Rattus norvegicus: one gene and its partner. The protein of the gene in region 2 interacts with the protein of the main gene of each other region in a pairwise test. Links are inferred from orthologs where the notes say so. Each region holds a gene or a part of one and is shown on either strand. Other genes may lie near its edges.

The links.
Region 1: the proteins of Swsap1 (region 2) and Zswim7 interact in binary tests that used the Homo sapiens proteins (3 or more experiments, as listed by UniProt). The link is inferred for Rattus norvegicus from reciprocal best matches to the Homo sapiens genes SWSAP1 and ZSWIM7.

What each region holds. Positions count from the first base shown.
Region 1 is NC_086028.1:47,466,098-47,470,383, forward strand, and holds the start of Zswim7 (zinc finger SWIM domain-containing protein 7), read right to left. Parts: upstream 2,823-4,286; coding exon 2,747-2,822; intron 1-2,746. Other genes in the region: Ttc19 (tetratricopeptide repeat protein 19, mitochondrial), read left to right, coding at 2,986-3,166, 3,264-3,367. UniProt on the Homo sapiens protein: Involved in early stages of the homologous recombination repair (HRR) pathway of double-stranded DNA breaks arising during DNA replication or induced by DNA-damaging agents. Required for meiotic progression, hence for fertility.
Region 2 is NC_086026.1:28,761,342-28,765,568, reverse strand, and holds Swsap1 (ATPase SWSAP1), read right to left. Parts: upstream 2,817-4,227; 5' UTR 2,515-2,816; coding exon 2,500-2,514; intron 1,930-2,499; coding exon 1,336-1,929; 3' UTR 288-1,335; downstream 1-287. UniProt on the Homo sapiens protein: ATPase which is preferentially stimulated by single-stranded DNA and is involved in homologous recombination repair (HRR). Has a DNA-binding activity which is independent of its ATPase activity.

The DNA of each region.
Region 1 (4,286 bases), on a different chromosome or scaffold from region 2:
ATAGGAGACAAATCACTTAGGGACAACAAAGGACATTCTATAGCCAAATGACGGGAATACTAGGAAGAAAAACCAAACGTCTATGAAGTAAGTTAATAGAGCCACATGGTAGAGTGGAAAACTAAACCAGGGGCTGGGGAGATGATGCACCTGCTAGGTGGCCGCTCTCGGTCAGCTGGAGTTTCGTTTCTAGCACCCATACTGGGTAGCTCTTCACTTCTGTACTGCAAGCTCCACAGGGCCTCTTCTGGCCTCTGGGGCTCCCTCACACGTGGACACATGCAGACATACATCCATCCAGGAGTAAAAATGAAACTCGAACAAAATCTTATCAGAAGCTTGAGAATCATGGTCATAAAGAAGATATAACTGGCTCTCCATACACGTGGGACCAACATCTTTGGACTCAACTAAGAGGAGATAAGAACTGAGGGGCGGGGCCACGGCTCAGCAGTTCATTCCCCCTGCCCGCAACTCCCAACAGCTGGCTCACTTTCCAGTCCAAGGGGATCTGGTGCCATCTTCTGGCCTAGGAGGGCACTGCACCCACATGGTACACTGATACACATGCAGGCAAAACACCCATGGAATGTTTAAAAAGAAATGGAAAGGCAGGTACGTGCCTGTAACTGTGACACTCGGAAGCCTAAGGCACGAGCACAGGGAGCTCAAGGCCAGCCTGGACTATGAAAAGGCCGAACAAAACCAAACTGAAACCAGTACTACCAGCCCTGGAAAATTCTGAGTCTCTACTAAACATGCCATTCTTCTCTCATTTTCCCTAAGCAACCCAGGACGTCTTCTACCTACCTAGCATGTTAGAGTACAAAGGAAGGTGAGTCTGGATCACGTGCCATCCTGCCAAAGGAACTTGTACGTTGGCAATATGGACAACCATGGATACTTAGGGACAATTCAAATACCCAGAGGGGAAAAAAAGCCACAGACAAAATTCAGCACCAGAGTTAGATGCAAAATGCTAGATGATTATGGAACAATGTTTTCAGATGTCTGAAGAAATGTTCTTCCCAACATGAGACAATACCTTTTAACTGTGAGAGTAGAAAAACCTTTTTCAGACATTCAAAGCCTCAAAAGTACAGTTCATGCCTTCGTCAGGAACCTACTCAAGTACGTACTGCATAAACTAAGACAGGTAACAATACACAAGTGGATAAACAAGAGGAAAGTAAATTGTAGGAAATGCTAAACTCAAGACCCAAAATGGGAAAAGAGAATTCCCAAGCCTTTAACACTGAAGGAAGATAGCAGTAGCCCGACCGGACACCAGCGAGTCCATACTAGGCAAGTCGGCAGGCTCTAGGCAGATTTCTTTACGAAAATGTAACTGATAAAATGTCTTTTTTTACCTTAACATTTTGAGTGGAGGCCCATGATAGTGGTGAAAAAATTTGAAGTTCAAGTAAAAATACATATGTAGAAAACTAAGTAAGCCAAGATGGTTATAATTCAGGGAAACCAAGTAACCCAGGAAAGGAAATCAAAGCTTCCTACATAGCTCAGTACCAACTAGTTTAAACCATATATGTGCAACCTGTACTTATATTCTGCAAGGTTACCAAGGAAGATCAGGGATTAGGAAGGAGTACTCAGAACCAATATTGAAAAGTGTCCTACTAAAAAGTAAACACAAGAGTCTGTTTCTGAGCTCGGGGTCCCCTTCAGTTGTTGGCATATGTATTAACCCACCAACAGCCCCGTTCTAGCAAGTGTTCTGTAAACATCTCAGAACATCTGCGGTCAAATTCTGCATGCAAGAGCTCACAACAGACTGACAACCCACAACTTTTAGAAATCAAAACATGTTTGAATACCTGGTTGGCTGAATCTTTTACACATACGTAAAAGGCCAAATTGAGACCATTCGTTTGCTTATTTTTCTTGTTCTGTTAAAGCGGTAACGCCAACCCTTTCACAGAGCACAATGAATGGGCAGTAGCAGTCTTGAGCTCTAATTTGACTATCATTTAGAGAGGCTATTTTTGGAAGAGTACTTCTAACTAGTCTACACTCCAAAAGCCTTCTCCCCTCATCCCCGTCTCCCTTTTTCAGATAGTCTCCAGTAGCCCAGTCTGGCCTAGTATTTCGTAGCTGAGGGTTGACCTTGAACTTTCCCTTCTTTTGTCTCCACTTTCCAAGTGCGGAGATTACAGCCATGTGCTCAGTCTTAGGCGGCGGCGGGGAATCCACGGTAGCTCTATACATGCTAGACAAGCCCTCTATTAGCTGAGCTACGCAGTAGATCCTCATTACTAGTTTCCCCCATTGGTAGCTCCTCCTACTCTGGCTGGTAAGCAAAGATCATCCTTGTTTAGTCATTTTGTTGGAGACAGGCATAGGGCGACCTCTACAGGTAGAGGAAAGAAGTACTTTTCAACTTGCAGATTTCTTTAAAGGTTTTGCATCCCTAGAATGTTTTTAGTAAAATATGTTTACTAAACAAAGTAAACAAGAGTGTTTTTTTTAAGCTTTGCATCACGGATTGTGGATAATGATTCCGAGTAACTCAAAATTGTCTAGGCATCTGCCATTCCGCATCCCTGCCCTCGCCCACTCCTTGGGTATACCCAGTGGCTCTCTTCAAGTACCCGGGGTTCCCGCACACCGGCTCGCACTCAGGGATCTGACGTCTAGTCATTCAAAGTCCTCTAGTTTAGCGATTTAACGAGCACAGGCTTCAGGGACAGAGCTATACAGGATAAGAATAAAAGTTCGCGGGCCATACTTCTCGCGCTGTCCCGCACAGCGGCGGCTATCTCGCTCAGGAGCTCCTCCACGACCTCCGGGAGCGTGACCGCCATAGCACGCCGCACGACTTCTCTTCCCGTGGGCTGCGAACTCTTTGCGCGCGGCAGGCCGAAGGCGGGGCGAGGCGGCGTGACGTCATCACGCGTCATCGCGCATGCGGACAGGCGGGGCGTCCCGGGCCAGCCGCGGCTAGTGGAGCTGTGAGGACGCGTCGGCATGTTCCGGCTGCTTCGCTGGCGTCTGGGTCGAACCCTGCTGCGGGCCGCGGGCCGGCGGTGCGGGGGCTGTACTGCGCGCCTACTGCCGGAGCGGGCCGGTGACGCGGGTCCGGGCGCGGAGCGGCTGCGGACCCGAGGCGCGCCGGCGCGGGGGCACCGAGTGCTGCCGCTGTTGGCAGGTGAGCGGAGCGCTCCGGGCGGGGCCGGCCCGGCGGGGGCGGGGGCGGGGGCGCGGGCACGGGCCGGTCCCGGTGACCTCTGAGCCGCTTCTCGCAGCGCTCGCCTGGTTCTCGCGAACCGCGGCGGCAGAGGAGCAGCCGGGAGAGGACGCGACAGACGAGGCGGAGGCAGAGATCATCCAGCTGCTGAAGCGAGCCAAGGTGAGAGGATCGATCGGGCGTGCGCGCTCTCCGCTCCGCTTCCCGAGGCCTGGATGTATTGGCCCGGGGTGGAAAGTTGGGATGCATCCAGACTGGTCCAGGGCGAATCCTGCAGCAAAACCGCTGCAGTTGTGAGTGCAGGTGGAGACGGCACCCTCACAGTTTCCTTATTTATTTTGTCCAAATGTATTGATTGAGGATGTTTTGCGGGGGTGGCTTTAATCAGTTAACATCCAAGCCGAAATAACATTTTGTGCATAGAATATGTATGACGTCCCGAAAATGCAATTTAGTATCATTTATGCCTCTTGGTTCACGTCTAAATCTGTTTCTCCACATCCTTTTATTCCCTCCAGGTTTATTTAATTTCTTCCAACGGGTTCGATATCGACTTAATGCCAACAACGTCCAAATTTGTGTTCACAGACTGCAGTGTGTCACTGACATGCTGTCTCTATTGCAAGGCTCTAGTTATGTCTCAGATTTAGCGTGCCCTCCTCTAAGCACTTTTTCTTAAATTCCTTCCCCAAAATGTGTCTTTAACAGTCTTCTTTTTACCCCCTAAAAAATTAAGCCTAAAAAAAAAACCATAGTGGTTCCTCAGGCAGATCTCTGTGTGTTTGAGGCCAGCTTGGTTTACAAAGCAAGTCCAGGACAGTTAAGACTCTGTTACACAGAGAAACCCTGCCTCAAAAGAAAAAAAAAGGGAAAATATAATGGTTCTTAAATGTGTTGTTGATAATTCCCAGTTACACAGTAATGAACACAATTGCTGTCAAATCCAGAACACTTCTCAAATCACCCCCACCACCACCCTTCCCCTCTATTTTCCTAGATTTTCTCACACAGGTCCTGTTCTCTTGCCCCAACTGCCGTCCATGCAGCAAACTGAGTGATGGTTTGAAAATGTAAATCAGTG
Region 2 (4,227 bases):
TTTGGGTTGCCACAAAGACTGCGGACTGCACCACAACCCTCCCTTCCGGGTACCCCGTCTTTGCCTGGACCTAGCCCATGGAAACAAAGAGTGAGCACTGAAATTTTGGATCTGGTGATATGAGGACAGACTATAATGGTCAGTGTACATTTCGCTAGCTGCTAATATATGCTGCTCCAAAACCTAATGCCTTCTCCATGGTTGGTAACACTACCCCTGTGGGACATGAACAGACGTCTACTTGACAGATAGAAAACCCACGTACACATACCACCAAAGTCCAATTTGGTGAACCAATAAAGTTTTACTGGAGTTATGCAGGAACATGGGTGAGGGATTATTCAGGGAAATGACTCAGACACATGCATAACCAAAGCTGACTCGGTGACAGAATTCCTAACCACTGAGCTCTCCCTCCAGTTCTCTAGTTTTTGTCCTTGTAGCCCTGGTTGGCCTGGAACTTGGCACATACACCAGGCTGGCCTTAAACACATACACACAGATCCACCTGCCTCTGCACTAGGATTAAAGGCCTGTGCCACACCACACCTGGCCCATTTTGGTTTTTGGAGACAGGATCTAGTGTAAGTCAGCATGGCTTCCAATACCTTATGTAGCCAAGGTTAGCCTTGCATTTGTGACCTCCCACCTCTACCTCCCAAAGCTGGCCTTACCATTTTGCACACCATGATGCTCAGCTTCCGTCAAATGACTTTAAAAATGTATGTCCTAAGAAAGCTAGATGTATGCATACTCTACATGGAACGAATCCACTCCCAACTGCACACCCTGAGTGCTGTGTAAGCTCATGTGTATGACTAGACCCTAACAGTCGGTAAGTCAACACACAGAGGTAACCGGGATACAGGCACCCATGGAATGTGCAAGAGGAGCCAAGAATAGGAGCATACACCATAGGCCCCACCCTCAAGAGATGAGGCTGGAGGATCAGGAGTTCAAGGACAGCCTCAGCTACGTATCTAGTTTGAGACTAGCCTGACTTACGAGAGAGCCATTCTGGGTAAAAAATGCAGCAGATAAAAAGAAATGAACTAGGAAATATGGCTGAATCTCATTAACAATGGTGAGTGGACAGAGGAAGGCTCCAGCGATCTTATTTGTCTTAAAGGTTTCATTATTAATTTAGTATTATTATTAGTGTGCAGGGCATGTGTGGAGGTGAGAGGACAACTTCCAGGAGTCCGTTCTATCTTTCTACCACGTGGGTCCTGAGAATCAGTCATCACGCTGGTGGCCAAGACCCTTGACCTCCTAAGTCATCTTGCCAGCCCCCAACAACAATGATGCTGGTTTATAAACAGGAAACCTACATTCTCAGGTCTTTGAATCTGCACCTGTCCCTGAGGTAAGTATTCCATCCAAGGGAAACCTGGGACTAGGGAGGTTGTCACACCCCAAAGTTAAAGACTGGCTTCCAGCACTTGAACAGTTTTGGTCTGGGCTGAGCTTAGAAGCCTGGGCAGGCCATGGGGTGATCTTCATCTCTCCACCAGGTAAGAAAGTCACTGACCACTCTGTCCTGGGGCTCAGCTTGCCTGTCTCTAGGCTAGCTCGAAGGCAGCAATGCTGTCCCAAGCCTAGGGCATCTGGCTGCAGCCGGCACTGTGCAGGAAAATAACGCTGAAGTAATGCCAGATGTGGGACATCACCATCGGCTTCTTTTTGGGTTTCAAGGGCCACCACAAGCCCACAGTTGCCACTGGCTCCAAGCCGGTGGCTGAAATAGGCAGCAGTATCCAGAAGCAATGCAGCCAAGTAGGCGGTGTCCTGTGTCCCTGGGTCCTCTGCTAAATATTCTTCCAGGCCATCCAGGAGTAGAAGGGATGGGACAGGCGCTGGGGCCTCATGGGCAGAGGCTAGCAGCTGGAGAAGCTCCTGAATTGAGGATGGGTACTGGAATCGAATCTTCTAGAAGATAGGAAAAGGCTAGATTTAATATAGGAGGTCAAAACTCTCTATTACGGCTACCTCACTTCTTCCATACTTTCTGGTCGAGGCTCTCATGGTCCATTTGGAAAGTTCCAGGATGAAGCACCAGCTCAAATATTCACCTTGTTACCCGCCCTTTTCCAGCACTTATCACTGCCCAAAAAAATTTTCTTTAATGCAGAATCTTATGTAGTCCAGGATGATCACAAACTCGTTTTGTGAACAAGGCTGGTCTGACACTTCTGACCTCCTAAGAACTGAATCCCAGGCATATATTACTAAGTCTGGTTAAAGAGATAGAAAGAACCCAGGGCTTCGCACATGTTTTTGTTGGTGGTTTTTGGGGGGGGGGGTTGTTTGTTTGTTTGTTTGTTTTTTGGCTTGGCACCCATGCTCAGCAACACCGCAGGACGGTCTTTCATTTAATCTTCAACTAAGCCGGCACTGTCCCGTCCCAGGTGCCTACTTCGCTTCTTCCACCCACCTCTCCCATATAGACTTTATGACGATTTAGCAGTAAATCTACGATCCACACTGCCATTTACCTACCGAACTGTCACTCATGAGCAACCTAGCCCGCCATTGGGTGACGCATAGCCAGGTCCAGCCCTCCGGTTACCTGGAGCCGCCAATGGTCTCGCGCTGCGGGTGTACTGAGAGGCAGGCTCTGAAGAGGCCTTCGCGTCAGGAAGAGGACGGGCCCGCGGCCTTCCCCTGCTGCCTCAAGAGCCGCGGCAAACAGCAGCGACGTCTGCGCAGAGCGCGGAGCGCCGAGCAACAGCAAGGGCGGCCCGGGGTTGCTATCCTCTCCGGGCCCTGCCGCGCGGCCCGCATTTAGTACCCGCCTCAGCGCCTCCGCCATTTGCTTAGTACCGCTGTCCAATCAGAAGCGAGATCTCATCTTGGGCCCGCCCACACCGAGGCCTCATTGGCTATAGTTCACTGTCTAGGTTCGTTGCTGGAGCTGTCGGCAAATGGTCAAAACAAGGAGAGTGGAGGAAATGGGTACTTGAGGGAATCTGCTGCAAGAAGCCGCGTGGTCCATTAAAAGGAAGGTCGAGCGAGGGTCCAAATGCGCTCCCCAGAGACGCTCAGGCTCTCGGTCGGAGCTGGAGAGAATGGCTCAGTTACGAGCACTGGCTGCTTCTCCAAAAGACCCACGTTCAGTTCCCACTACCTACTAGGTGACTCTCAGCCATCCATAACTACAGTTTGAGGGAATCCGACGCCCTCTTCTGGCCTCCGCTGCACGTGGCACACATTCTAATGGCCCTCCGGGTGCGCGCGCGCGCACACAAACACACACACACACACACACACACACACACACACACACACACACACACACACACACACACACACGTAAAAATAAATCTAAAAATAAAAAAGTAGAAGCCGCTCGGCGCACTTTTAATTCTAGCACTTGAATGGTGGAGGCAGGCGGATCTGAGTTCAAGACCAGACTACAGAAACCGTCTCTTTTAAAAAAGAAAAAAAGTAGGTCCCCTCAACAAATGTTGAGGTCTGCAACCAGCCTGAGCTACATGAGCACCTATCTTTAACAAAACACTAATAATAAAAATCAGACTCGGGGTTGGGGATTTAGTTCAGCGGTAGAGCACTTGCCTAGCAAGCGCAAGGCCCTGGGTTCGGTCCCCAGCTCCAAAAAAAAGAAAAAAAAACAAACAAAAAAACAAACCAGACTCTTAGCTTGCCCACCTGCAAAATAAATATTGTGATTCTATGTGATCATTACAATATGTTGGTGAGAAGATTTGCTAAGGTCACCGAAGGAAAGTTCACAGGTGGAAAGGGATAGCTGTCTGCTAGTCTCTGCATATTGGAATATGGGGGTGGTTTTTACGGGCTACAGACTCATAGATTTGGCCTTTTTTTTTTTTTTAAGGAGGGCCCCAGACATTTTAGCCTATGCCACCGCGATAAATTCATGCAAGGCTGAGGATGAAATTCAGGGTTTTGTACATGCCGAGCAAGCAGTCTAGAAACTCCCATGACACAGGGTGCATGTGCTCTGAGGACTAGTTCCGGGATGGGATTCAGTTCTTTCTCCCTCACCATGTATATTCCCTGGATGGCAGACCTTCAGGGCTCAGAATCCCCTAAGCCATCTCACTGATCCTGATTTTTGTTTTACTTTTTTTAATCTTTTTTTGTGGGGGCGTGTGCAGGATCGCCTGTGTCACCCTGAGTGTGTGGAGGTCAGTCCTTGCCTTCTATCTCATTTGCAATACTGTGTCTTGTTCATTGCTGCGTGTG